6 linked regions of the Rattus norvegicus genome follow. The protein of the gene in region 2 purifies or fractionates together with the protein of the main gene of each other region. This does not show direct contact. Links are inferred from orthologs where the notes say so. Each region holds a gene or a part of one and is shown on either strand. Other genes may lie near its edges.

Evidence for each region.
Region 1: the proteins of Trim21 (region 2) and Anxa2 purify together in Homo sapiens (affinity purification with western blotting; 3 studies listed by BioGRID, with this or other methods). This does not show direct contact. The link is inferred for Rattus norvegicus from reciprocal best matches to the Homo sapiens genes TRIM21 and ANXA2.
Region 3: the proteins of Trim21 (region 2) and Irf3 purify together in Homo sapiens (affinity purification with western blotting; 3 studies listed by BioGRID, with this or other methods). This does not show direct contact. The link is inferred for Rattus norvegicus from reciprocal best matches to the Homo sapiens genes TRIM21 and IRF3.
Region 4: the proteins of Trim21 (region 2) and Fasn purify together in Homo sapiens (affinity purification with western blotting; 3 studies listed by BioGRID, with this or other methods). This does not show direct contact. The link is inferred for Rattus norvegicus from reciprocal best matches to the Homo sapiens genes TRIM21 and FASN.
Region 5: the proteins of Trim21 (region 2) and Gmps purify together in Homo sapiens (affinity purification with western blotting; 3 studies listed by BioGRID). This does not show direct contact. The link is inferred for Rattus norvegicus from reciprocal best matches to the Homo sapiens genes TRIM21 and GMPS.
Region 6: the proteins of Trim21 (region 2) and G3bp1 purify together in Homo sapiens (affinity purification with mass spectrometry; 3 studies listed by BioGRID, with this or other methods). This does not show direct contact. The link is inferred for Rattus norvegicus from reciprocal best matches to the Homo sapiens genes TRIM21 and G3BP1.

Annotation. Positions count from the first base shown.
Region 1 is NC_086026.1:79,016,347-79,020,515, forward strand, and holds part of Anxa2 (annexin A2), read left to right. Parts: intron 1-857; coding exon 858-917; intron 918-2,082; coding exon 2,083-2,176; intron 2,177-3,120; coding exon 3,121-3,216; intron 3,217-3,652; coding exon 3,653-3,711; intron 3,712-4,169. UniProt on the Homo sapiens protein: Calcium-regulated membrane-binding protein whose affinity for calcium is greatly enhanced by anionic phospholipids. It binds two calcium ions with high affinity. May be involved in heat-stress response.
Region 2 is NC_086019.1:166,385,538-166,390,265, forward strand, and holds part of Trim21 (E3 ubiquitin-protein ligase TRIM21), read right to left. Parts: intron 4,461-4,728; coding exon 4,365-4,460; coding exon of another isoform or gene 4,338-4,364; intron 3,488-4,337; coding exon 3,257-3,487; intron 1,645-3,256; coding exon 1,622-1,644; intron 1-1,621. UniProt on the Homo sapiens protein: E3 ubiquitin-protein ligase whose activity is dependent on E2 enzymes, UBE2D1, UBE2D2, UBE2E1 and UBE2E2.
Region 3 is NC_086019.1:104,615,081-104,620,294, reverse strand, and holds the start of Irf3 (interferon regulatory factor 3), read right to left. Parts: upstream 3,688-5,214; 5' UTR 3,586-3,687; intron 3,284-3,585; exon of another isoform or gene 3,246-3,283; coding exon of another isoform or gene 3,145-3,245; intron 2,910-3,144; exon of another isoform or gene 2,857-2,909; coding exon of another isoform or gene 2,823-2,856; coding exon 2,658-2,822; intron 1,499-2,657; coding exon 1,327-1,498; intron 1,236-1,326; coding exon 1,162-1,235; intron 1,011-1,161; coding exon 836-1,010; intron 733-835; coding exon 352-732; intron 1-351. Other genes in the region: Bcl2l12 (bcl-2-like protein 12), read left to right, coding at 4,605-4,711, 4,896-5,038.
Region 4 is NC_086028.1:106,577,797-106,582,524, reverse strand, and holds part of Fasn (fatty acid synthase), read left to right. Parts: coding exon 1-143; intron 144-648; coding exon 649-743; intron 744-951; coding exon 952-1,086; intron 1,087-1,163; coding exon 1,164-1,367; intron 1,368-1,472; coding exon 1,473-1,588; intron 1,589-1,770; coding exon 1,771-1,943; intron 1,944-2,014; coding exon 2,015-2,206; intron 2,207-2,280; coding exon 2,281-2,361; intron 2,362-2,453; coding exon 2,454-2,633; intron 2,634-2,789; coding exon 2,790-2,969; intron 2,970-3,042; coding exon 3,043-3,246; intron 3,247-3,507; coding exon 3,508-3,794; intron 3,795-4,186; coding exon 4,187-4,573; intron 4,574-4,655; coding exon 4,656-4,728. UniProt on the Homo sapiens protein: Fatty acid synthetase is a multifunctional enzyme that catalyzes the de novo biosynthesis of long-chain saturated fatty acids starting from acetyl-CoA and malonyl-CoA in the presence of NADPH.
Region 5 is NC_086020.1:150,620,815-150,625,542, reverse strand, and holds part of Gmps (GMP synthase [glutamine-hydrolyzing]), read right to left. Parts: intron 4,016-4,728; coding exon 3,910-4,015; intron 2,242-3,909; coding exon 2,126-2,241; intron 117-2,125; coding exon 1-116. UniProt on the Homo sapiens protein: Catalyzes the conversion of xanthine monophosphate (XMP) to GMP in the presence of glutamine and ATP through an adenyl-XMP intermediate.
Region 6 is NC_086028.1:40,114,673-40,119,400, reverse strand, and holds part of G3bp1 (ras GTPase-activating protein-binding protein 1), read right to left. Parts: intron 4,683-4,728; coding exon 4,573-4,682; intron 3,742-4,572; coding exon 3,532-3,741; 3' UTR 1-3,531. UniProt on the Homo sapiens protein: Protein involved in various processes, such as stress granule formation and innate immunity. Plays an essential role in stress granule formation.

The sequences.
Region 1 (4,169 bases), on a different chromosome or scaffold from region 2:
CGTTTCCTTTCTGGCCCACCTGCACCTGAACTCCTGTCTGTCAAGGGAAGGGAATTCTCTCAGGGAGCCCTGTGGCAAATGACTCAGGAGTGTGTTGCAGCCTGGCCCACTCATGACAGTCTCCACAATGTCCACAATGACTTGTCTCCATGACAGTGACAGTGACGAGTCTGTGACTCTCCTGTATTCATTTGACCCCATCCGGGCACTGCAGATTCAGGGTCTTTTTAGAATCCACTTGCATCTTGCTTCCTTGGCCAAAACCCATAGCCACTGCACCCTTCCAGAAAGTCCCACTGACTTCACCCCTGTGACCCTTCCTCTTCATCACTGTAATTCTGTCCTTCTGCTCTGTGATGGCTCGGGGTGGTGTATCACTCACCTGTAAGCCTGTTCTACTTCTGCCTGTGTGTGCAGAGTGCCCCCGCCCGCCCTGCTGGCCCCTGAGGGTTCAGCTCCGGCCCTATCCCAGCCCTCCTGGGCTCAGCTAACTAACTGTTTACTACACTAGCCTTTCCCTTCATTTGCATACTGTATCCTGGTGGCCCCCTTGCCATGTGTTTCACCGTTATACACAGTTTAAGGGAAGAGACTTAAATGGGCTCAGCTTCTCTGGGGCAAGTCAGGGAATTCGGTAAGATGCTTACTGGGGCTTGGGTCCCCAGGGTTGGCCCACAATGATCAGACATGGTGTAGCCACTTCCCTCCCTGACCATCTCTCTCTCCTTGTGAAAAACTGGCCGTAGTATCTGCTCAGGAATGAGGCTATGATTCACCTGGGTTAGAGAGGAAACACCTCCAGCTTTAGAATGCACTAAGAGCTAGGTCTGAGGGTCCTTCTTGTTTTTCCCCTACAGGGTAAACGGGCAGAGGATGGTTCTGTTATTGACTACGAGCTGATTGACCAGGATGCCCGGGTAAGTTCCAAGCTTCTTGGCTGAGTTTTACGTGGCGTGTGTATCTGGAGGGGGTTGTATCCCACACAACCATTTACTTATATACAACGAATGACCTCAAGCTAACATTTGTTATCTCTCGGATTCTCCAGGTCAGGGATGGAGACTGGATTGACCAGATAATTCTGGCTCAAGGCCTCTCATGTGGTTGTAGATAAGATGTTGGCTAGGGCTATAATTACTGAGCGCATGACCAGGTCAAAGGGAATCTTCCCTACATGGCTCATGTGTGACTTACTTTTGGCAAGAGATGTTAGCATACCTCCACACAGGCCTCCACAGACTGCTTGAATGTCCCCAACAACATTGCCCCTGGCTTCCCTAGAGTGAGTGACCCAAGAGGGATCCAGAAACCCTCATGCTCTCATGACTCAGTCGCAAGTGTCATACACTCTTGTCATACTCTGACCATTAGAAGTGAGTCCATGAGTCCAGCCCACAGCTGTGGGAGGGGTAAAACTAAGTAATGTCCTTTCCAAGGGAGAAATGGGCCTTTTAAAGCCTCAGCCCATCTGAACATAGAGCTTTGTCTCCAGGAACCATGTTTGTAATGCTGGGGTTAATTATCAGATCTGTACCCAGGTCCCATTGGCTCATTCAGGCTTTGATTGCATAGAAGTGCTAGGTCCTGACCTTAAACTCTTAGGGAAGCTGGAGCAGATGGGGTAGGCACACCAGGAGAGGAAGGCTCCCTGCTCCACTCAGTGAGGACAGAGGAAGATGACAGGGGCCTGTGACCTCCTCATAAAGCTATTTTAGATAACTGCGAACGAGGCGTGCCTCACTCAAAGGGGTCGGCGGCTCTGTTATCTCAAAGCAAGTCATAAGAGCGGCAGACAAAATCATGTGCCTCTGTTTTAAAATCTTATATAGTCTGGGGAGTGCATCGAGTGTAAGAGAAAGGCTTTTTAATAAATGCTAGAAGTGGGCTTTGTGGCCTAGGGAGATAGCTTAGTGTGGCCCCGGGAAGCCAAAAGTTTGAGCACACCTGCTCTATGTGGTACACGATGGGTCCCAGCTGCAGCACAGGCCTGTGCGCTCACATGTTTCTGGGAACGGGCTTTTGAGTAACGCCTGCTAGGGGGTTGTGTGGTTAACTTCTCCTGGTTGGTTGCATCTCTCACAGGAGCTCTATGATGCTGGGGTGAAGAGGAAAGGAACCGATGTCCCCAAGTGGATCAGCATCATGACTGAGCGCAGTGTGTGCCACCTCCAGAAAGGTGGGTGCTGTGCCAGCGGGGTCTCAGTGCCTGGAGGCTCTCAGGTGGCAAAGGCTGCAGTGAGGTGCAGAGCTCCCAGAGCAAGGCTCGTTCTCCACTCACTCTTTCAGTTTCCTTTATCAAACCATTTGGCCTCCTTTCTCACTGTGGACCCTCCGTCCCCAAATGTGTTCAATATTTGATATGTTAGCTTGTTTCACTGTGTGTGTGTGTGTGTGTGTGCGCGCGCGTGTGCGCGCGCGTGCGTGTGCGCGCATGTTCATATGAGTGCACATGTGTTTGGAGTGCATGTGGGAGCCAAGGTTAACCTTCGGTGTCGTACCTTTGAAACCATTGACCCCGGGTGGTTGTTTTGGTTTTTAGACTCATTGGCCTTGAGTTCAAACACTAGGCTAGGCAGCCTGGACAGACAGCTGCCACCCATCTGCCTCAGCCTTCTCAGCACTGGGATTACAAGCACACACCATCATGCTTGGCTTGTTTGTTTTTGTTTGTTTTGAAACATGGGTTTTGGGTTTGGGGGGCTAAACACGGACCTCAGGCCGTTTCCATGGCCCTTCCTAATTCCCCTCCTTACCTGAGGATCCTTTGCTCTCGCCATGATTATTGAAGTTCAGGACATGACCCCTGGCTCTATCCTGTTTCCCATGACATCCACGTAGATGGAGTCCAGTCAGGGCACAGAGGGATGGTTAAACTCTGTGGCCTAGGCAGAGCCATTAAGGATAGGAGCTAGACCTGGGTCATCTGGCAAGACAGGTACAAATCATCTCTAGTCCACCAAGGTGACCTCCAGCCCCTAAATGACTGCCAGCCCCTGGGATGCGTGGGGATCACCTTTAGGTGTTGGGTTCTTGTTTTCGTTGCTGCTGCTGCTGTCTGGTTGTATAGGCTGTCCGTGCGGCTCCGACCGGCACTTCTGACATCATTTGTCCTTCTCTTAGTGTTCGAAAGGTACAAGAGCTACAGTCCTTATGACATGCTGGAGAGCATCAGGAAAGAGGTCAAAGGAGACCTGGAGAACGCCTTCCTGAACCTGGGTGAGCAAGGGTGGCCTTTCCTTGCCGGCAGAGAGGGCAGAGACAGGAGTGAATGGCTATGTGTTTCCTTCAATGGGGACTTGGGAGGTGTGGTGACTTTCTGCAAGTCTCGGAGAGCTTTAGGATTGTCTGCAGATTTAAAGACATGAAACAGGCTTAAGTTGCCAGGAAGGACTAAGTTGCTGGAGAAGAGAGGGCTATAATGGGGACACTCATATATACACTGGGGCATCACTGACCTCTGCATCTCATGATTGAAGAGACCACAGTGGGTAGAACCTACTGGTTCACGAGATTCTGAGTTTTCCTTGGTCTTCTACATCCTGGATCCATGGGGCAGGCCCATTCTGGTCAGTGTCTTAGGGCCAGGGCATCATCTTCCTTCATGCATGGCAGGAAAGCAGCCTCACCCCTGACCTGTGTCTCCTTTCCACAGTTCAGTGCATTCAGAACAAGCCCCTGTACTTTGCTGACCGGCTGTATGACTCCATGAAGGTAAGGGCTGCTGGTCCAGATGTTCCATTTCCACTAGGCTCCTCCTCTGTCTTGGCTCAAACTGAATCTTCTTGACTAGTGTTTAGAACAGTGGCTCTCAACCTTCCTGACGCTGTGGCCCTTTAATACAGTTCCTCATGTTGTGGTGACCCCCAACCGTAAGATTATTTTGTTGCTACTTCAGAACTGGACTTTTGCAACTGTGATGAATTGTAATATAAATAAATGACATACAGGATATCTGGTATGCTACCCCAAAGGGGTTGAGCCCCACAGGTTGATAACCACTGGTTTAGAGGATGGGTTCCCGCTAGCTGGCTGAGATTGGATTTGACGGGCGAGAAAGCACCACTCCGTCTTCTCTCGGCTGGTTAAATATGTATGATGCATCTTCAGAATAAGATGTCACTGGTGGGAAAGGGTTAGGTGACAGCGGCGTCTGATTCCTGCTGGGGGTT
Region 2 (4,728 bases):
ATATGTTACTTGACCTTTTTCCCTTACTGCTTTTAATATTCTTTTTTTATTTTGTGCGTTTGGTGTTTTGACTATTATGTGACGGGAGGTGTTTCTTTTCTGGTCCAATCTATTTGGAGTTCTGTAGGCTTCTTGTATGCCTATGGGTATCTCTTTTTTTAGGTTAGGGAAGTTTTCTTCTATAATTTTGTTGAAGATATTTACTGGTCCTTTGAGCTGGGAGTCTTCACTCTCTTCTATACCTATTATCCTTAGATTTGATCTTCTCATTGAGTCCTGGATTTCCTGTATGTTTTGGACCAGTAGCTTTTTCCGCTTTACATTATCTTTGACAGTTGAGTCAATGATTTCTATGGAATCTTCTGCTCCTGAGATTCTTTCTTCCATGTCTTGTATTCTGTTGGTGAAGCTTGTATCTACAGCTCCTTGTCTCTTCTTTTGGTTTTCTATATCCAGGGTTGTTTCCATGTGTTCTTTCTTGATTGCTTCTATTTCCATTTTTAATTCCTTCAACTGTTTGTGTTTTCCTGGAATTCTTTCAGGGATTTTTGCGATTCCTCTCTGTAGGCTTCTACTTGTTTATTAATGTTTTCCTGTGTTTCCCTAAGGGAGTTCTTCACGTCTTTCTTGAAGTCCTCCAGCATCATGATCAAATATGATTTTGAAACTAGATCTTTCTTTTCTGGTGTGTTTGGATATTCCATGTTTGTTTTGGTGGGAGAATTGGGCTCCGATGATGCCAAGTAGTCTTGGTTTCTGTTGCTTGGGTTCCTGCGCTTGCCTCTCGCCATCAGATTATCTCTAGTGTTACTTTGTTCTGCTATTTCTGAAAGTGGCTAGACTGTCCTATAAGCCTGTGTGTCAGGAGTGCTGTAGACCTGTTTTCCTCTCTTTCAGTCAGTTATGGGGACAGAGTGTTCTGCTTTCGGGCGTGTAGTTTTTCCTCTCTACAGGTCTTCAGCTGTTCCTGTGGGCCTGTGTCTTGAGTTCACCAGGCAGCTTTCTTGCAGCAGAAAATTTGGTCTTACCTGTGGTCCCGAGGCTCAAGTTCGCTCGTGGGGTGCTGCCCACGGGCTCTCTGCGGTGGCAGCAACCAGGAATACCTGTGCCGCCCCTTCTGGGAGCTTCAGTGCACCAGGGTTCCAGATGGCCTTTGGTGTTTTCCTCTGGCGTCCGAGATGTATGTACAGAGAGCAGTCTCTTCTGGTTTCCCAGGCTTGTCTGCCTCTCTGAAGGTTTAGCTCTCCCTCCCACGGGATTTGGGTGCAGAGAACTGTTTACCCGGTCTGTTTAATAGGTCACTTCTGAGAAGAAGTTGGAGCAATCTTGGCCATGCTGTAGGTTTCACTCATTACTTATGAATCTTCCCATATGAGAGTCGCAGCAGAGTCAGATTACCCGTTACTTTCATACTTTTAATGTATGAAGATGACATTCATTAACTACATTGGGCAATTCATCAAGTGGGATGTCCATTAGACATTTGAGGGTAGAGAACGTTTCAGAGAGGACCAGGTTTTGAGAATAGGGATGCATGAGGCAAACCCCAGTGCATGTACGCCTAACTCAATAGCCATTTCTATGCACACTTGCTTCCTGTTCTGTGGAAACCTCTCCTTACCTTTCCAGGACGATCCTCACCTCCTGAGGAGAGAAGAGACAGACAGTCAATTCTGGAGTTTCTGATTGACTACTGAGATGCCACTCCTGGGGTCATGTGACATCATTGACCGTGTATCCTTTGGGCTCTGTTCTGCACCATCGCCTTGGGCTAAGGCCCTAAGGATGACTCTGACAAGGAGAAATGACATGTGATGGCTAACAGAGTATCTAGGAAGCCAACATGCCTATGGCCTTTAGCTAGGATATGACCAGGGATCTAGAGACTGATGTAGGCTCCTGGAGGATGGGGCTGTCCAAGGAGACAGTAGAAGAGGAAAATAAACAACACGACCTGACTGAAGCCCAGTTTCAAGCAGAAAATGGCTGAGGTAGATGTCCAGAGAGGCTCCTTGCTATTTCTGGGCTTGAGTTGTTTGTGGAGGAAGGGCTAGTTGGTTAAAAGCTTTGTCCTGTGCTATGGCTAATCCTCTCTACTATTTACAGTGAGCTCAAGTGAGAATATTCATTCCCAGGGAGTGGCAGCCATAGTGTTTGAACTGGCAGTCTCCTAGGATCAGGAAAAAGACACCAGGGAGCTCAGTTCTATGACAGGAGGAGAAAGCCTGCCAAGTCAAACCTATATGACCAGCTTTTCTGTACAAAGTAGAAAGAAATGTCTGTACACATCTGACTGAGGGACAGTGACAGAGGTATGAGAAAAGATACCTAGAGATCATCTGGTCTATAATGTTCCAACACCAGGCTAACATCCATACCAAGGATGGATGAAAGATGGTTTTAGAGTATGAATGACTTTAAAAAGTAATCTGTTGTCTTAATTTCTGCCTCTTACTACTTAGACAAGCTGATGTAAGTTACTGTGAATCTCCCACTATGTCCATTAATGTTTTCTCTTCTGTGGAATGGGATCCCAGCAGCACTACCCTGAGCCCTGGTAAGTCACTGGTGTGCTCTTGAGGAACCTGCACTTACTATCCGTATGGGAAAAATCAGAAGAGAGAATAGTAGTACCAATACATGATCTTTTAGTTCCTATGCTTTGGGAAAAATATTTTAAATTTACTTTGGGAAAAGAGCGAGACTTTTTGCAGAATCCTATATGTTAAAAATCATATAGGTAGTTATGCAACAGCTATGCTTGGGTTAAGGGCATCCTTGTGGATCCTACTCCCTCTGTGGCTTCATAAATGGAGAAACAGTATAGAAAAGAAAAACAGTTTATTCCCATGAGCTATCACTTTGGAGAGAAACGGCATACTTCGGTTTTATATACTGAACTTTTATAAACATTCTATGGCTATTTGTCTAAGAACTCGAATGAATTTTCTCATTTATTTCTTTTTAAAAATATCACTTAAGATATGTGATACTATGCATCCTGGTGACATGATTCCCACTCCTGACACCTGCTGTGGTGGGCATCTCCTAGGAATAGCTATCTACTGGTTGCTATATGGAATACTTTCTCTTGTGTTTGTACCCTGCTATTCTGTAATGGAAGCCACTTGAGTGTTCACATTTCAGCTTATTTAAAAATATCCTAAAAATTAAGGCAGCACTTCCTTTTTAAGAGCGGTTCCAGACAGTGCTGGCCTTTTCCTAGTTATTCCTTGCGCCTGCGTAGGGATCGCACCTTCAATAGCTCCAGTTCTGAACCTCGGCTCCTCCTCTCCAGCTCTGAGATCAGTTCCTGCAGGGCCTGGTTCTTCTCAGCCAGCTCAGCCTCCTTCTCCCCAAGGAGTCTCAGGTGCTCCCTTTCATCCTTCTCCAGCCTCTGCAGCTGCCTCTGTTCCTCCTGAGCCAGCAAGCTATTCTGATGTGCGAACTCTTCGTGAATCCTCGACTTCTGGGTGTCAATGTTCCTCTGTGGTGGCAAGGGAAAGACAAGAGTTTCACAATCAAAATTTCCTAGGCTTTGGTGGTGAAGGTGTTTCTGTCCCCTCAACACCCACCCACACTCAAACCGCCACCCTCACCCACACATGCTTCCGTCACTAGATACTCAACCTTTCTTCCAAAAGCCACTAATGCCCATGTGAGTCCCTTTGTATTTCTATCTCAGCAAGTAATAGAGTGTAAATCTGTCCCCATACCCAGTGTTGCTATCTTTCTAGGCCCTGGGTGGAAAACAGCGGCCCCAGGAAAACATTCTTTGCCATCTTGGAGAGTCGAGTCTTTGCTACTCATTTGGGGTCTGTGATTGGCTGTAAGCCCCTCACATTCCTTGCCAATTTCAGATGTATTTCATTTCCTACCAGCAAATTCTCAGTGGGACAGGTTTTAGTTCTCTATCAGGCTTCGGACTAATACTCTGGTCACCAACAAGCAGCCACCAGGTCAGGTGGACTTCCTACCTCAGATCCAAGAACCCACTGTTGACTCTGTTGTCCCCTGAGAAGGAATGATGTGACCTTACACTTCCTCCAGTAATTCTTGATCTTTGTGCCAGACTGGTGGAAATCTCATCTAATTTTAAGCTTCTTCCCTCCCTTCCTCCCTCCCTTCCTTCCTCCTTCCCTCCCTCCCTCCCTCCCTCCCTCCCTCCCTCCCTCTCTTCCATCCTTCTTTCCCTCTCCCATCTTCCTTCCTTCCTTTCATTTCCTCTCTATCTGGAGACAAAGAGTGCAGATGCTTCATGGAGAGTGACCTGTATAATAACTCTACCATCCCTTGGGTAGGCACAGTCATGGTTAAGACTTGCTTAATGTCAAGACCTGAGAGATGCAGTCTACAGTTCTTGCCTTCCAGTCTGTTCTTTGCATTGCAAGATCCATTTCCAACTTCTCGGCCAACTCTTTCCCTTTTCTCAGTTTTTCTAAAGCCTTGTGAATCTTCTCCTGTAGAAAAAGATAGCAGGTTAGTCCCCAGCTAAAGATGTGGAGGACGAAGCTGGAAAGACTTTGGAAGAAACCTAGTATGTCTTACAAAAACAGAGCTAGGCCAATGGGGTAAGGGGATCTGGGCCATTGCATTTCTAATTCACCAGGAAGCCACAAGAAAGCTTGATACATGTTGCACCTCCCATGGCATAGCCTCTGCTACTGAGAAATAAAGTTGCATTCCATACACAGGTTCCTCTCAATGAAGGAAGAAAGTACCCTTCCA
Region 3 (5,214 bases), about 62 Mb from region 2:
GTTCTCTGGTTGGCTCTTGTGGATTCTGGCTGTGGGAATAACTGGAGGTGGTGCTGGGCTCATTACACCATAGAACCGATGGACAGCGGGACCAGAGGGACTTACTCTTCTTGTAAATTGCAGGGGTACTAGCAGCTGAGCCAAGCCCCTGCTGCACCTCGGTTCTGTAGACACTGAGATCTGTATACACCAGAGTATCTTCTATATGTTGAGCCTGTACTACATTAGGTCACAGTTACAGCAGCCGGTTCCTGGACTTGGTGGGTACAGGCCTGTCTTTGCCACAAAGCTTAGTAGCATGCTCTGAATTCAACCAACCACCATAGCTGTCAATTCGCACAGGGTACTCACCTGCCACAAAGGGCCTGAGGTCGAACACGACTCCGTTCTTGTCCTTGGGGACCTCTCCATCAGGCCCTCTCCCACTGTCTGGAAGCAGCTCCTCACCCAGGGCCCAGAAGGAATGCGAGTGGCCTAGGCGCTGGGCCCAGAGGCACTGCCCTGCCCGCCACAGCACCAGCCCCTTGCCCAGCCCCTTGAGTACCTGCCTCACATACTCCCTCACAAGCCTGTCTGTCAGAAACTCCTCAGGGTCTGGCAGGGTGACTGGCTGCCAGGGCAGTGTCCCGTTGTCAGACGTGCTGCCCACCAGCCGCAGGCCCCCGGGGCAAAAGAGTGTCTGCTGGAAGACCTGGCGGCCTCGGTAGAAGGCAGTCACCTCGAACTCCCACTCTGAGTACCGGGGTAGATGAAGAGGGGAGGGGAGAGATGAAGAGGACCAGGTAAGGACCACAGTCCCTGCTGCAGCCCTTCCTACCCCACAGCAGGCACTCACGTTCCTCAGCTAGCAGCTGCCTTAGTGGGTTTTCCTGGGGTGCTGGGTTTGGGAAGTTGTTTACAATGGGGCTTAGTGGTGGTTGAGAAGGATCAGAAGCAATAGGCAGGTCTGAGGACCCCTCATCTGGGAGGGGTCCCAAGGCCATGTGATCGAGTAATTCCAAGAGGTCTTCCTGGAGGAGGAAGGAGCTAGTCAACAGCTTCAGCTGAGCCAGAGGGTAGCAGATTGGTGGGAATGGAGGTCCAGGGGTAAGGGCTGGGGTGGGAAGAAGGTGAGGCCTAATGGATGGGGCAAGGCTGGGCACAAGACTAGTGTCTCCTCACCTGGTGATCAGACAGACTGCTTTTGCCATTGGTGTCAGGGGAGGTGTCCAGATGTACAAAGTCCCTTGCTCCTCCTGTCCAGAGTGGAAGTGAGCAGAGTAAGTGGCAGAGATCTTCCAGACCCCACGGTTCCTGTGACCCCCAAGCCAGCCTTGTTACACACACCTGGAGTCACAAACTCATACACTTTATGAGGGTCAAAAGGGTCCTTGCTCCGGTCCTCAGCTAATCGCAACACTTCTTTCCGGTTCAGGGCTGACCGGAAATTCCTCTTCCAGGTTGACAGGTCTGGCTTATCCTTCCCTGGGGTGTAGGCACCACTGGCTTCCGCCCAGGCCTGATACATCAGTGATTCCAGGACAGTAGGGAAGACTACTTAGACACCTCCCACCATATTCCATACATTTCTGGTTCCTGACCTAAGTTCTCACATTCATAGAGCCCCTAGGACTTCTGTCCCGACCTCATCCTTATCTATATTTTCCACACTTTAGAAAAATATTTTTGAATATGAGACAGGGTCTCACACATTATAACAAAGGTAGGCTCCAAGTTTCGACCCTCTAGCTGCCACTTCCAGAGTGCTGGGATTACAAACGTATGCCACACATCCACCTTCAAGCCTTTTGATTTTGGTTTGTTTTTTTTTTTTAGGTTTATTTATTATAGACGAGTACACGTAGCTGTCCTCAGATGTGCCAGAAAAGGGCATCAGATCTCATTACAGATGGTTGTGAGACACCATGTGGTTGCTGGGATCTGAACTCAGGACCTCTGGAAGAGCAGTCAGTGCTCCCAACCGCTGAGCCATCTCTCCAACCCAAGCCTTTTGTTTTTTAAGCCAGTATTCTAGGACCTACTTGGTACCTCACCCCACATTCTGTTACTACCATGCTGATCTGGTAGCTAATAACCCCATCCTGAGGGCTGTTCCAATTCTTAAGATTTAAGGGATCTAAAATCAAGAGCCCACCCCCCCCCCGAGATTTCCCATCCTCTAATAAAAGAGCTGTTCTCAACTATCCGAATACAGATCCTCATGATGTAGTGAGTCCCCAGCCCCAAATTTTTTTCATTGCTACTTCAAAACTGTAATTTTGCTGTTATAAATCTTTTTTTTTTTTTTTTTTTTCCGGAGCTGGGGACCGAACCCAGGGCCTTGCTAGGGCCTTGCTCCTGCTAGGCAAGCGCTCTACCACTGAGCTAAATCCCAACCCCAGCTGTTATAAATCTTAATGTGAATATCTGTTTTCCAATGAAAGGCCCGTTCAACCCCCAAAGGGGTTGCGTCCCACAGATTGAGAACCATTGCTCCAGAACAGTTTTTTAGAGACACAACCTGGCTTTCAGAATTCTATTCCTGGAATCTGCCAATCAATTCCGGGCTGTCCCTCCAAGTCTATCCCACCTAATTAGCAAGACCCAGCCCTGTCTAGTCACGCCCATAAATGCCTCTGAAGTCTCAACGCCCCCCCCCGCCCCCTCCCCCCCAGCACCTGGAAGATGCCAAAGTCAGCCATCTGTGCGTCCTGTCGTAAGCCATGCTTCCATGGGATCCTGAACTTTGTACGGCTCTCGTCCAGCCAGGCCACACCTTTCAGCTGTCCCAGGTCCAGCTGAGACACCAGCCAAGGCAAAATCAGCGGTTTCGGGGTTCCCATGATCCAGCCTGCGCATACAGTGCAGTTCCTGAGCCTGTATGTCAAGGGGCAAATGCACTCAAACCTCTCCGACCCGATACAGCACAGGCCTTCCTTCACCCTGTTTTCCTGTGTACAAACGGGAAACTCCTTCCCACCTTTCCAATTCCAACGGGACCGCCTATCCTACCCCACAGTTTTCCATAGGTTCTTTCCCTTTTCTAAATGTAAACCCCTATTACTCAAAGCAAGTACCCCATTTCCAGGGTGGAGTCCTCTTTCCCTGTCTTTAAAGAATCATGACTGTTCTCACACCCACCTCACCCTTGCAGAAAACCCTTACTCATTTCCAGAGTCTTCTCCCAGCTGCTGTCGCTTCTTCTGCTTTGTCTTTTCTACATTGTTTTTATGGATGTTTTGAGACAGGGTCTTAGTATGGAGCATAGGCTGTCCTCGAACTTGCTATGTAGCCATGATTGGTCTTCAACTCACTGTGTGGCCCAGGCTGGCCTCGAATGCACTCTGTAACCCAAGCTACCCTCAAACTTATTCAGTAGCTCAGGCTGGTCTTCAACTCGCTTAACCCATGCTGGTTTGGAGCTCATTCTGTGGTTCAGCCTGGCCTGGAGCTCACTGGCCTCGAACTTGCAGCAATCTTTACTGCCTCCAGTCTGGATGCTGAGACTGCAGGCTTCCGTCTACAACGCGTAACCATTCTGGTTTTCGGTAGCCGAGCTCCTGTGCCCTGAGGCCGCCACCCTCCCGGTTCTTCCGCGTTACCTACCAGGGGAGGAATTGCGCGCTCGTGGGGCGCGGGTGTCAGCACTGGTTTTGGGGCTCCCAAACAGTAGTTGAGACTCGCAGCCACGCAACCCCCTTCTTTGTCAACTAAGCTTCCGAGCGTTGGGACTTTCCTTTCTAATGGTATTTTGAGATAAAAAAAAAATTTCTCATCATTTACTTTAAGAAAAGTCAGAAAACCTAGGAGCACACTCCGACTGAACCGGCCTAACTCCCTCAATGCCCTTTTTTGGCCTTCCGCCTACAGGCATGCTGGGAACGCCATATGCAAATGATGCAACACAGCGCTCCGCCCCCTCGACGTTGGGGCGGTTACCGTGTCGGCCCAGTGCGCAGGCGCGGGAAAGTTGAACTTCGGAAGTAAAGTTTGTAGAAATTGAGTGAAAGCGTGTGTGCGCCAGTACGACTGAGGCAGAACCCCGATCCAGGTGAGCGGGGTACCAGGGAGGGAGCTAGGTTGCAGGAGAGGTCACAGCCAGTCCTGTCTCTCTGACTTCCAAGCACGGAGGTCTCCTGGTGCCCGCCAGAGGTCATTGGAACTACATCTCCCAGCAGGCTGCTCGGTGAAAAAGAGGGGAAACCCGGCTAGCGTTTGCCGCAAAGCGTACTAGGATTAGTAGTTCCCTATTCTCTAGGGTCTTCGAGACTCCTTCAGCACTCAGGGCTCCCTTCCTGCTCCTGCATGTAAGAGTCCAAGCACTCAGTTACGTCCTTTCTTTCTTTCTTTCTTTTTTTTTTTCTTTTTTTTCGGAGCTGGGGACCGAACCCAGGGCCTTGCGCTTGCTAGGCAAGCGCTCTACCACTGAGCTAAATCCCCAACCCCTACGTCCTTTCTTAGATTCAATAATTCAGGCCCTTTCTCCTCAACGGAATCAACTGCCCCACTGGCCCTTAAGCCACCTTTTCCTTGGAGTAAGGTGTCCTCTTCATTCAGTGATTGAATGAAGTTTGAGTTATCACTCCATTTGGGTACATTCTCTGTCTTCTGCTTCAGGTACCTCCATGGCCGGCTCTGAAGAGTTGGGTCTCCAAGAGGACACACTGAAGGTTCTGACTGCCTTCCTTAGGCGCGGTGAAACTGCTGGGTCCCCTGTCCCAACTCCACCCAGGTGAGATACTATTCCACTCCCCCAGGGCCAGCCTTTGATCAGAAGATCTTCCTGAGTCTAGTGGTCTACTCCCTTCATACCTAACCCCATATGTCTGTCCCAAGCTTCAAGAATCTTCCACGAGAGGACGAAGGGATTGTTTGCTCAGAACCCTCTGGGATAACTCTGAGGTTCTTGCCCCTAGGAGCCCTGCCCAAGAAGAGACAACAGATTTCCTGAGCCGACTCCGAAGATGCCTCCCTTGTCCCCTGGGGCGAGAAGCTCCTCCCCCTGAGTCCTCTAGGCCCTGCTTCCTTCCCCTCCGTCCCTGCTATGGTTCAGAGCCTGGTAAGAGATTTCTTCAGATCACTTGTGAAATTTGGAGGCTAGCAGCCTTGGTCCTGAAGAATCCAGACAGTACCCATTATAAAGTCAACACTGCTCAGCTTCAGTGCCGGCCATAGCCATTTCAGTTCTTTGTTACACTTCTTTCTAGGGGGTAAGTGTTTCTGCCTGGATGGGAG
Region 4 (4,728 bases), on a different chromosome or scaffold from region 2:
CATCATTGGGCACTCCTTGGGAGAGGTTGCCTGTGGCTATGCAGATGGCTGTCTCTCCCAGAGAGAGGCTGTGCTTGCAGCCTACTGGAGAGGCCAGTGCATTAAGGATGCCAACCTTCCGGCTGGATCCATGGCAGCTGTTGGTAGGTATCCTCTCAAGGGCCCCCGACCTCATTAGGCACCAGGATCTTCTTGGAAGGGGTTTCTGTCCTGGGTCCTCCAAAAGAATCAGTTGCTTTGTTGTGAGACATGGGGTTGCAAAGGGAGAAGTCACTCTGCTCAGATTATCTTTATAGGAGGCTTCAGTTCTGACCCCACAGGCCCGAGCAAGGTATGAAACACCATACACATCAGATGAGGGTTCCAGGAGCTGAGGAGAGCCACTTACCAACCCTAGGTGTTCATCGCCCAGCTTCTCAGCTGCTTACCCCCTACACCACTTAGGTGTCATTTCTGAGGTCCGGCTCCTTTCCTACACTCCCTCCATAATGACACCTCTCTTGAGATCAGAAACAGCAGGGAGGGAGTAAAGGTGCCCTGGAAGGTCGACTCTTAGCATCCCAACACCATTGGCTCTAAGTAGTGCTCATGGTCCAGGAGGATGGGCTGAGTTCGGGCCAGCTCTGAGGCCAGCCTCTCTGCTTATAGGTTTGTCCTGGGAAGAATGTAAACAACGCTGCCCTCCTGGTGTGGTGCCTGCCTGCCACAACTCTGAGGACACTGTGACCATCTCTGGACCTCAGGTAGGCCCTGCAATCATAGCAGGACTTCTGTTCCCTGCAATTTTGCCCTGGCCCTGCCTAGGAGGCAAGGCCTCCTCAGTCTGTGTCCACCAAGTTCTGAAGGGCCCAGCTGGTGAGCTACACTTGTCGCAGGCCCTCTGGGTGGACTGTGTCCCTGACCAGGGAAAGCCAGTCCAGGCCCCCTGACCACTGGCCTTGATGCCTGCAGGCTGCAGTGAATGAATTTGTGGAGCAGCTAAAGCAAGAGGGCGTGTTTGCCAAGGAGGTGCGAACAGGTGGCCTGGCCTTCCACTCCTACTTCATGGAAGGAATTGCCCCCACGCTGCTGCAGGCTCTCAAGAAGGTGAGTACCTGGCCATGTGCTTGGACCCCAGGGCACGGTGACTTGACCTCACTCGCTAACCAAGCGTCTGTGTGCAGGTGATCCGGGAGCCACGGCCACGCTCAGCACGCTGGCTCAGCACCTCTATCCCTGAGGCCCAGTGGCAGAGCAGCCTGGCCCGCACATCTTCTGCTGAGTACAACGTCAACAACCTGGTGAGCCCTGTGCTCTTCCAGGAAGCACTGTGGCACGTCCCCGAGCACGCCGTGGTGCTGGAGATTGCACCCCATGCACTGTTGCAGGTGAGCACTGGTCCGCCTGGGATGGGGCACATCAGCCTGCCAGTCACTGGCGAAGGCGAGTGGCACGGAAGGGGTCGGAGCCTAGCTCTCCTTTGCTATGTGTAGGCTGTCCTGAAGCGAGGCGTGAAGCCTAGCTGCACCATCATCCCCTTGATGAAGAGGGACCATAAAGATAACTTGGAGTTCTTCCTCACCAACCTCGGCAAGGTGCACCTCACAGGGTAGGTCTCCCTTCTGTCTGCTGCTCGTGTGCAGGCCCACACCAACCCCCATGAGAGGGGTTGCTGTGGCCTAGCTCAGTGCTGGCCCTCGGTCCTCATCTTGGCCATCTTGGGGTCTTAGAGCAAAAGTAGGGCCACAGACTCTCAGGGACAGGTGTGTCACTTAACTTGTTTGTCACCAGCATCGACATCAACCCTAATGCCTTGTTCCCACCTGTGGAATTCCCGGTTCCCCGAGGGACTCCTCTCATCTCCCCTCACATCAAGTGGGACCACAGTCAGACTTGGGATATCCCAGTTGCTGAAGACTTCCCCAACGGTTCCAGCTCCTCCTCAGCTACAGTCTACAACATTGGTGAGCCAGGCTCCGTGGTCAGTGGGTTCCTCCCAGGCCTGTGGGCCCGTGCTGAGGCATTGTCCTTACAGACGCCAGTTCCGAGTCATCTGACCACTACCTGGTCGACCACTGCATTGACGGCCGTGTCCTCTTCCCTGGCACTGGCTACCTGTACCTGGTGTGGAAGACACTGGCTCGAAGCCTGAGCTTGTCCCTAGAAGAGACCCCTGTGGTGTTTGAGAACGTGACATTTCATCAGGCCACCATCCTGCCCAGGACAGGTAAGAGGCCCTTCAGTGGGGGCTGGTGAGGTGGTTGTGACTACTCCGCTCTGACCTTCTTTTTTTCTCTGCAGGAACCGTGCCTCTGGAGGTGCGGCTGCTAGAGGCCTCACATGCATTTGAGGTGTCTGACAGTGGCAACCTGATAGTGAGCGGTGAGTAGTACCTGGCTGGGCCTGTGTGGCTGAGGACCTCAGCTCCTAGCCTGCCCCATGCTCAGACCCTCCTGTTGCCCTGCCTCCTACAGGGAAAGTGTACCAGTGGGAAGACCCTGACTCCAAGTTATTCGACCACCCAGAAGTCCCGATCCCCGCCGAGTCCGAGTCTGTCTCCCGCTTGACGCAGGGAGAAGTATACAAGGAGCTGCGGCTACGTGGCTATGACTATGGCCCTCATTTCCAGGGCGTCTATGAGGCCACCCTCGAAGGTGGGCAGGAGCAATCCCCGAGTCAGTGAGCATGATGACCAGGAGCCATTGTCACTCCTGGGCCATGTCTTGCTGGGGGTCAGGGAAGACGGAGGAAGGGAGTAGAGGCCCTGGAGCAGGTGAGGCCTCGTGTGCTGAGCAGCCCCCCTACTGCAGGTGAGCAAGGCAAGCTGCTCTGGAAAGACAACTGGGTGACCTTCATGGACACAATGCTGCAGATATCCATCCTGGGCTTCAGCAAGCAGAGTCTGCAGCTACCCACCCGTGTGACTGCCATCTATATTGACCCTGCAACCCACCTGCAGAAGGTGTACATGCTGGAGGGAGACACTCAAGGTAGCTCTGGCCCTCGCTCTGTCCACTTGTCCTGGACTGAGCATTGCCTACACTGACCAGTGTGTCTCCATAGTGGCTGACGTGACCACGAGCCGCTGTCTGGGCGTGACCGTCTCTGGTGGTGTCTACATTTCGAGACTACAGACAACAGCAACCTCACGGCGGCAGCAGGAACAGCTGGTCCCCACCCTGGAGAAGTTTGTCTTCACACCCCATGTGGAGCCTGAGTGCCTGTCTGAGAGTGCTATCCTGCAGAAAGAGCTGCAGCTGTGCAAGGGTGAGGATCCAAACCTTCCCTCTTCTTCCTCAGTCTTTGCCTTTGAAACTCCTGAGGCAAGGCCTGGATGGCGGGGAGCTCAGGGTTGGTGAGAGCACAGCCTACCTTCCATGGGTAGCACGGCACTGCTGCATCCTTCCTATTGAGTTTCCGCTCTTCCCATTGCTGTGGGCTTGTCCTGTGGACACGCTAGGAAGCAGGCCCTGGCAGTAGGCTGGAGGCCGTAGAGAGAGAACGTAGGCCTTTCTTTGTCCCTCCCAGGTCTGGCAAAGGCTCTGCAGACCAAGGCCACCCAGCAAGGGCTGAAGATGACAGTGCCTGGGCTAGAGGACCTTCCCCAGCATGGACTGCCTCGACTCTTGGCTGCTGCCTGCCAGCTGCAGCTCAACGGGAACCTGCAACTGGAGTTAGGTGAGGTACTGGCTCGAGAGAGGCTCCTGCTGCCAGAAGACCCTCTGATCAGTGGCCTCCTTAACTCCCAGGCCCTCAAGGCCTGCATAGACACAGCCCTGGAGAACTTGTCTACTCTCAAGATGAAGGTGGTGGAGGTGAGTGCTGGGAAGGTAGACAGGCCATGTGCGTGGATCCAGGGCAATCTCAGACCCGAGCCCAAGGCAGGCAGCCATGATGTAGCAGCTTTCTATGGCCTTTGTGCTTTGGTTTGTTCCACCCTAAAAGATTGTGGGGAACTTTTCACTGCTACCAGTCCAGGGGATGAGATATCAGAAGGAAGGCTTCTGGGAAAGAATCCTGGGATGCTCTGAGCTCTAGCCTGGGATGTCGCAGACAGTCTCCACAGGAGAGTAGAGGAGAACACTGGAAGAGCCTCCCGGCCAGCATTGCCACAAAACTGAGCATGAGCAGCACGGAGAGGCTCACCCAGGCCCCAGGGTTTTCTGCCTCCTAGAAACAACAGATCTAAGATGCTCTCCCACACCAGGTGCTGGCTGGAGAAGGCCACTTGTATTCCCACATCTCAGCACTGCTCAACACCCAGCCTATGCTGCAACTGGAGTATACAGCCACCGACCGGCACCCCCAGGCCCTGAAGGATGTTCAGACCAAGCTGCAGCAGCATGATGTAGCACAGGGCCAGTGGGACCCTTCTGGTCCTGCTCCTACCAACCTGGGTGCTCTTGACCTTGTGGTGTGCAACTGTGCGTTAGCCACCCTGGGGGATCCAGCCCTGGCCCTGGACAACATGGTAGCTGCCCTCAAGGATGGTGGTTTCCTGCTAATGCACACAGTGCTCAAAGGACATGCCCTTGGGGAGACCCTGGCCTGCCTCCCTTCTGAGGTGCAGCCTGGGCCCAGCTTCTTAAGCCAGGTACTGCTCCTGGGCATGCAGGGCAGGTAAGGGCTGGGTATGGTTCCGCCAGTTCAGTACTTACAAGACTTCATACACATAGGAAGAGTGGGAGAGCCTGTTCTCAAGGAAGGCACTGCACCTGGTGGGCCTTAAAAAGTCATTCTACGGTACTG
Region 5 (4,728 bases), on a different chromosome or scaffold from region 2:
ACAGTCTTAATTGGCAGCAAGAAAGCATTCAATGAATGCTGACTTGTAATTTCCATGAGTTTCTCCTGGTCCTCTTCTGTTGTGCAAGCTTTGACTCTTTGTAACAGTGTATGAGGCTGAGAAAACCAGACAGACATTTTTGTTCATGTTGTAAAAAGTCATCATCTTATGTACCTGTACAGACTAGTTTTTAACAGTAGATCATGTAGAATATGCTATGCGCTATACTACAGCAGAAATTCATCTGTGGAGTAAGAAATATAAATTAAATTTATATACACTGAGATGTTGACTTTCCTGCCACCTTTTGTGCATTTTGTGTCATCACCTTCCCCCTTTTATCTTGCAACTTTTGCTCTGTAAACTGGTGATCCTCCCAACTCATTCATCTAAACCTTTTTGTCCTTTTGGCAAAACAATCATTTTTAATGCTTTACATTTTGTTAGTTCTCAAATAGTAATATTGTTGTCATTAACTATTTTGTGCAGTCTATGTTTAGGTCAGTCTTACTCATTTATAACTTTATTTGCTTACCAATCCCTTGTAGAGCTAAGTCTGTCTCACAGCTTTTCCTAAAGCCAGTGCTTTATTCAAGACTACCAAAGGCAGGAATTCTAGAAATGGGCAAGTATCAAAGGCCCCCTTACAGCCAGACGTAGCGCACACCCAGAGTCCTAGCACTAAGGAAAAGGAGGTAGAGGGCCATGACTGTCTCAAAAACCAATTACTATTTATATTTAGCCTCTCTTGTAGTGTTTGCTACAAGAAAGGCTAAATACTAGGAGATGAGGAAGAACTGAATGTAGGTAATGGACATGAATAATCAAAAGATGTAAAATTAATTGTTTTCCTACTTGTCTTAGACTTCAGTTTTAGTATTAGATAGCGGAATTAAAATATATTCAATAGTGAAAGTGTAAAATCCAACGTGAAACTTTATAACCTTAGAATGGTTATTCTAATTATACAGTTCACCGAGAGGAGGAGGCTTACAAGTTTTTTCTAATAAAGTTTATTTTTTAAAAAAAAATAATAAAAAGAACAAAAAATTACCCTCCCAGTTTACTTCAAACCATTATGAAAAAATACTGCCTTAAATTCCTCAAGCCAAGGGTTGTTGGTAGTAAATGCACTTATTTAGAAATGCCTTTATTTGAATACTTGCTTTAGTTTTTAAAACAACTGGGCATGCACCAGTCATCTCCCGGAGCACCTTGAGTTGTTCTGATTTTTAATTCCTCTCTCATCCTGACTGCAGTTTCCTTCCCTCCACTCTTCACACTCTTCTCTATCCTTGAATCCTTTCTTCATATGTTAATTTCAGTTGCTAACAGTTCTAGAATTCAACTATCTCAGTTTTTAAGTATCATAAAACAATACTGTTAATAGCTTCTCCTACTTTACTTCCTCATATTTTATTAGCAAACTACAGTATGCAGGGTCACTGAGGATGCTCTGCTAGTTATTTATAACTTAGTGGGTCATATGGCTGTGTTCTGTTCTTTGTAAGCTCTTACTGTTTTGAAACTCTGGGAATTCTTTGGGAAACAGGGTGAAGATTATAGAGAACCTGTGTAGAACTTGCCTGACTACTTAGAAACAGTACCAATCCAGGTGGACCTCAAATGAAACTAACTTGCTATTTTCAATCACATAGATTATGAGTTAACACCTCACATCTGAGGGACTGGGAAACTGCTATACATTCTCAATTTATACCTAAAGTATTACTAAGAAAAACTGTGATCTAATTACAGACACTTCATGGCCCCAAGGTCTCCTATTTGGACAGTTTCTGCTCAAATGGAACTAGTGGAATGCTGTCTTCAGGGGAGCACACAGCCTTCTTAAATCGACACTTCTACTTCACTCATGACTTACTTTCTTTCAGTACCTATGAAAGAGCATCTGATGTAGCTTTTCTGGACAGGGGATAGGTAGTCTTATTTGCTTATCCAGACAGATCTACCAAGTAGTCTCTGTGTTATGATTTCTACATAGTCACTCCAAGTAAATATTGTTCTGAATTTTCAAACACAAAATAAATAAGTTCATTTTAAAACAAGAATATAACAGCAATCTATTTTGTCCAATGTACTGACTAGATGTCAAATAATTTATTACCTTCTTAACACTTGCAGAAAAATCAGCTACTATTTTCAAAATATTGTTGGTTTCAGGAAAGTCTTTACAAATATAAGGTTCTTCAGCACATATTACTCTGATTGCCAGGCCAGGACCTAAAGAACAACAATTTTGAATATAAAATCTATAATTTCAATTTTTTTTTTTTTTGGTTCTTTTTTTTTCGGAGCTGGGGACCGAACCCAGGGCCTTGCGCTTCCTAGGTAAGCGCTCTACCACTGAGCTAAATCCCCAGCCCTATAATTTCAATTTTAATAGAAAACTGATACGATCTCTAAAACATAAAACCCTTATAAAATTAGGATCTAACTATTATCACATGGTGTTTTGTTTTCTTCTTTTTATTTAAAAGTGTTAGGGTTCAAATACAGGGCATCGTGCATGCTAGCAAATAGTCTACCACTGAATCCTAGCACTCTAACTTTCAAGGCCAAAAATGTAGCTTTTTGGTAGAGCCAATCTTAAGTATGTACAAAGACATGAGGTTCAATCTAAAACTAAAACAAATGAACACAAGATATTTAATTTCAAGTATATATGTATTAATTTCCCATCCAAATTGACTAATCTATATATTCTCATAAAAATATTTTAATTCATACTATATATGGTAATTTACTGAAAATCTCTTAATTGAAGGAATTCTCTACCATACATGAATATAAAAACATATAACGAACATACATCTCACAGCCTGTTTAAAATTGAAATATAAAAGTAAAAATATTGTTTAATACAAACTTGTGAACCAGCACTTTTATTTACCAAATACGTAATAGTCATAAAGTAACTAAGTAAGTAAGCAAGCAAGTAAATAAATAAACAGCAGGGTACAGAGACTCCTCAGTAGTTGAGAGTACTAGGTTTCAGTTGCCAGCACCATGTATCTCAGGGGCTCTGATGCCCTCTCTTTTGACTTCATTAGGCATCTGGCATGCCCATGGTGAACACACACATGCAGACAGAAACACATGCAAACAAAACAAATCTCACACAAGACTAAAAAAGAATAAAAGGCATGCACAAGACCTGTTGCTTTACTATAGTATGGGGAAAAAAAAAACCCCTTGAGGTGTCTACATGCAAAATGAAACTCATATTCCATTAGTTGTTCTCAGTCTCATTACTAGTTTTAAAATAAGCACCCAGGGTTTGGGGGTTTTGTTATTTGGTTTGTTTTTGGTTTGTTTGTTTGTTTTCTGAGACAGGCTTTTTTTGCAGAGCTCTGGCTGTCCTGGAATGTAGACCAGGCAGGCCTCGAATGCATGAACCCAGAGCATCCAAGGCAACCTGGAGGTGGGAGTGAGAGGGATATCACTATTTTTTAAGAGAACCATTTTTTAAAAGACGCGATCTTTAAAAACAGAAGAGGAAAAAACAAAGATTTATTTTTTTTCCCATGGAATACACGAATACTCATGGTATAAATGGTAAAGTACATAGTACTCATGGTATAAAAATCCTAGATCTATAACTAAGAACTATGTAGAAATGTAATTAAAATATCTCTATGATTCACATCCCCATCTGGAAACAATGCTATATGCTAGACTCCCAGGAATTATATAGTACCTAAATACAAACAAAAAAGAGAATGATTCACATATGGTGTAAATACAGGAGACACTTCTAAGAATGTGTTCCCTGTCATTCTCTACCTTCTTTGATGTTACACAGTCCCTAAGAAGACAAACCATTCAGAATGGTCTGAACTGAATCCATATGACAGTCCACCAACAAACAAAACCCAAGTGTGTTTTTACCTGGAAAAGGATGCCTGGAAACCAATTCTTCTGGCAGGTCAAGCTCTCTGCCTAAAATCCTAACTTCATCTTTATGAAAATCTTTCAGAGGTTCTATTACTTTCCCCTATAAGAAAAAAAAAGGGGGGGGGGGACCAATTAAAAGATTAGACTATTATTTAAGATATTTTCACCTATGAGGCTTAGAAGGAAATTAGATTATTATTGAGTAGCACTCATAATCTTTGTTGAAGACAGTATAATCCTTACAAGTTTTATAAGAAAAACAAATTCCAATGCTGGAGAGATGGCTCACTTTTAAGAACTCTCTCTTCTAGAGGATGCAGCATCAATACTCAGCACACACACAAGTCTAAGGGTCTTACACACACAGTCAGTTCTAAGGGATCCAATACCCTCTTTCTAACCTCCACTGGCACCAGGCACACACAAAATGCACAGACATCCATGAAGACAAAACAATCAAACACATAAATTAAAATCTTTAAAAATAAAACGATAAGACCCATCATATCTCATCTACTTTTCACAGGATACAAGAAAGGCAATTGAAATAATGTTCACATTAATGAGTCCAAATGAGCTGGGTAAGGTGGTACACACCTTTAACCCTAGCAGTGGGATGCAAAGGCAGCCAGATTTCTGTAAGCTCTAGGTCTAGCCTGGTCTATACAGAATGCCTGTATTTAAAACAACAACAACAACAAAACAAATAAAATTTTTCTAAATAGTATCAAAAAATAAAAGGATAAGTCACAAAACAGTAAGAAGTAAATAACATGTATTTATTTCATGTGCACAGGCAGTTTGTCTATATAT
Region 6 (4,728 bases), on a different chromosome or scaffold from region 2:
CACACCTCACAAGACCCAGCTTGTTGACACAGTAAATCCATCCCTAAAGGTGGGCAGGGAGCAGCTATGTAGAGGGCAACTGGTGAGCTAACTTTGCAGGGCGCTACTGTGTCCTGAATGGCACCCCAAGTGGTCTGAGAGGTGGAAATTCCACCCTAGACATCCAGCTCACAGGCACTCACAGGAACCGGGCTCCTGGCTCAATACTGTAGGTACTGCCCGAAGCCCCGCCTGCTCCTGAAAGCCCTGTTCGCTCAACTGCTTCCCACCATCTCTTCCCTTTATTACTGTGCCATAATCCAAGGCACACATGAAAGCTAAGTGGGCTCACTTGTTTTGCTGTAAACAAAAGTGGGCTTTGCTTTGTAATCAAGGCTGGTTTTGAATTCACAATCCTCACCTCAGTCTCCTGAGCACCAGGATTAAGCGTGTGCCACAGGCCCTGATTGCAACTCTCCAACTGTCACTGTCCCTGTTCCAAAGCAGCAGCTGAGACTGCAGAGCACAGGAGTGCCACCTCACAAGGAAAGCAAATGAAAGGTCTGGTCAAGGTCTGGTTACTTACTTCCAATAGGTCTGAACAGAGACTCATGCCTAAGAGTACCCTGCTGCTCTTCCAGGACTTTAAGTTCGATTCCCAGCTCCTATGTGGGAGGGCTCACTCACCTGTAACTCCAGCTCCAAGGGGCCATAGGTGTTCTGAGGCACCTGCACATGTGGCCAACATCCACATAGACATGTACACATACATAAAGTCTCACTTGGCTAAAATACCCATCACGGATCCTAGTTAAGCTCAATAACAAAGAACGACATCCTGAGTCTTCCCTGCAGATCAAATCTTGACATGAGAAGGCTGACATCAGCAGCCACTTCTGAAATAGCCTGTGCTTTCTGTAACCATGAGCACCTCTTAAGCTCCAAGGTTTAGGCTTCACGTGGTGTCATTGGCATCCAGATTCTCCAGTGCAAAACGGGCTGCCAAGCTGAGACCCATGCCCTTCCAAAGCACACTCTGATCCCCAGTGCCACTGCTGGGAAATAGGGTAGGGCTGAAGCAGTTCCCCAACCCCAGTCACAAGCAATAGGGGTACTGCTACATCCCTACACACCACACACACACACACACACACACACACACACACACGCGCGCGGTTGTACTGCTACACACTTATCTGAGGTAGAAGAGAATGGGCTTCTCATATCCCAACCCACCCACAGGTTGCTCTTTCTCAGATCAATCCAGATCACTCTGATACCCTTGGTCTCCAGAGAAATGAGGGATGCTGCCATGACACCTTACTCTGTACAGCAAATGTCAATCACCTAATCAGGTGACTAGGAAAAAACTTCTAAATGCATGTCTTAGTACTCAATTGTGAAAATCATTTTTAGATTTACCCAAGTTACTGAAACTTTTAAGAGACTATTATATGGGCCAGACTAGCCTTGAACCGGAGATCTGAGACTACACAGGCAAGCCTGTGCCATTGTGTGCCACTTGGGACTTTTCTTTGCTGCCCTTTTGCCTTGTTTCTTGAAAGTCACACTATGCAACCTTGGTGGAACTTGCTTCACAGACCATGCTTTTGCCTCCTGAGTGCTGGGGTTATCATCATGAGTCACCAAGCCTGGCTCAGTTGTCCTTGTAACCATACACTTTACTACAAAGTACATGCTGCACACATCTGCATCGTCACCACCTCAAATGAAGTGCTTAAACTGAACCCCCAGTCGTGGGATTTGGTTACCTCAGTTCACAACATGCTGTCAACATTTAGATCTGTGAGGTATTGAGACCAAACCTGACAACCTCACACCATTTTCATCCCAACTACCCTAACAAAACCAGCATACATATGTGACAGCTCTAAAGTCAGACGAGCTGGCTGAGCACTATGTGTAAGTATGAAGACCTGACTAATTCCCAGAAGCCACAGGGAAGACAGGCATGGCAGCACATGTCTGAAATCCTTGTGCCCTTACAGCAAGATGAGAGGCACAAACAGGAGCCCATAGAAGCTTGTGGCTCATGGGCCAATTTCAAACAGTGGAGTATAAGGCCTAGATCCCAAGTTGCCCTGACTTCCACAAGCATACTGTGGTGCACGCATGTATGAAGACTCCCACATACATATACATACACACATACATAGACATACACATATACATAGACATACACACAAACATTAGGAAAAGTTAGACACTCTGGTTGCCTTCAGACTAATGACTTGTCCATGGAGGCTTGTGCGGACAAAACCTTCACCCAATGTCACACACAGCACTCAACACACAACACTGGAAAGTGAGTTTTAGCAGTCTACATTGCCAGATGAAGTTTTCTTCCAGAAATATTTTAATAAAAATTGGCCTTTTTCCAAGAAACACCCACTGCATGTCCATCAGTAAAAGAGAACCGTAACAAAATAGAAAATTTACCATATGGCTATGATTTAAAGAAAAAAAATGCAGACCCTGGAGCACATTAGCCAAGTCCAATATTCAACCAAATCCTTCTTATGGCCCACCAGGAACCCAGACAGACAGCAGAGTAGAGTGTGGCGCACAGAGCCACTGAGGTCAGAGGCCTCACAGAAGCACCTTTCCTCAAAAGCATCCCAGTCTGAGGCGTGATTTAGGATAAGGCAGAACAATGTTAACACGACACATACACGTGATCAAAAAACTTGTGCAGTTCCCCCACATACTCTGAATCTGAAAACAACTCTGGAATCTTTATTACTTTCCTTTAAACAGTTGCCAGGGCCGGAGTCAACGATAAATAGAAGGCACAGTGTTGCTTGGTTTTGTCATCAGATTTGGGGTTTGTTTTCTCGTGGGAATTTTTTGTCCTTTTTTCTTTTTTCTTTTTTTTTCTTTTTTTTTTTTTACAAATACAAATAAAACATGAAAAACTCTACCTCAAAAAAATCTAACAGTTCAACAAAAGTCTTTAGCTGTGTTCTAGACATTGACAGGCTACATCACAATTTAAAAATCCAATGGTAAAAATGGAGGTTTAGAATTGTTTGGTAATCACATGTCAAAAGAACACCTTTTATTCAGTTAGCCACACCTGCAGGGACCCAGTGGCAGTTGCCAAAAGGCAATTTTTCCACACCAGAAAGGAGTTGTGACTTGATTTTTCCCGCTTCCAAAATGTTTATCAAATCCTGTGTCTCCCAACAAATGAAACATCCGTGGTCAGTGAAACCGAGACACTTCTGGGGAATGGCCGTGAGACTCCAGTCTGTGTATGCAGCGTGAGCAGGAAGGTCAGTCTTTCCTCTTCGTCTTTACAAATCTATTCCTCCTAAAGTATCATTCCGGAAAACTGGGAATGAAGGACTAAAAGGTCAAGGGAGGAAAGGGGTTTGGGGAGCACACACCATGAACACAAGCGAAATTAAAATTGTACAAACTCAAGCAGTTTATAATAGACTACTCCAAGACACCAAAGGCTGGTTGAAGGAATTCACCATTCTGCAGGAGCCGGGGCTGTGTGCTGTGTGGAGATCTGAGCCAAGCAATTCACTGCCTTGGAGTTGTAATCCCCCTGCCCACGCCAAAGCCTGGTTTCTGCACCATGCCTCCACGGGGAGGGCCTCTCATCCCACCACTCGGCCCACCACGGGGGCCTCCAGGTCCCCGAAGGCGGTTATCCCTGCGGTCGCCTTCCCTGGCAGCTCGAGTCTTCTTCTCTTCCACATTCAGGCGAACCGCACCTCGGAACATGATGGGCTGTGTGAGAACCAAGGGAAAGCAAACACTCAGATCAGCCCCTGACTGTGCCGGTCAAAAGTGAACAAAGCCACCCTACTGAGCAAGGCTTTCAACCAACTAGTCCGTTGTCACCAATGTGTTGAGCTCATAAAACATCTTTTGTGTTACTAGTGCCAAGAAGTAGAAAAGCACCAATTTAAAGAGTCCTGAAGCAGAGCACCATTGTACTAATAACTAAGGCACACTCCAGTAAACACCCTGATATGGACGCCTCCACAGCTTGAGAATAAAACCTTCTCACACACTTATGCAAAATATTGGTACCTCGTAAGCAAATCATCATTAAACTGACTTAAATAAAATTCCTAGAGTCCTGCAATTTAGGGGTGAGAAAGTAAGGCCTGGCCTTCTAGCTGGAAAATGACACTCAGCTACACTAGTGTATGATCACACAGTGACATTCAGCAAGCCAGTGCTAAAACCCCACCCCCCACAGACAGACACAGACTGAAGGGAGTATAGCACAGTGAGATGGAGAGAGGGCAGAAGGCACCTGAACCATCTGCCTCCTGCAAGCACAACTTCGAGGAGGTGAGCCTCAATGGCCAGAAGCCTTGGAGTTATCAAAATAGGTAACTCCGCTTCCAGGGCGTGTTCCCACTCTCCATACCCCTAAAGGCACTGCACACACCTAGCACGCACGTGTGCACGAAAGCAAGCAAGCAAAAACCAGACATCTCTCTCTCCCTCTCTCCCTCTCTCTCTCTCTCACACACAAACACACACACACACACACACACACACACACACACACACACGCATGCACACGCACACACACACTTTGCTTACCCTGTTATTAAGGACCTTCTGAACTGGTTCCGAGTCATCAAACACAACGAAACCGAAGTTGGGTAACTTCCCACCACTGTTGATGCGCAGCTCCACAACATTCCCATAACCTGCAAGGGCAAAGCACCGGTGACTTCTCTGCAGACACCCAGCATG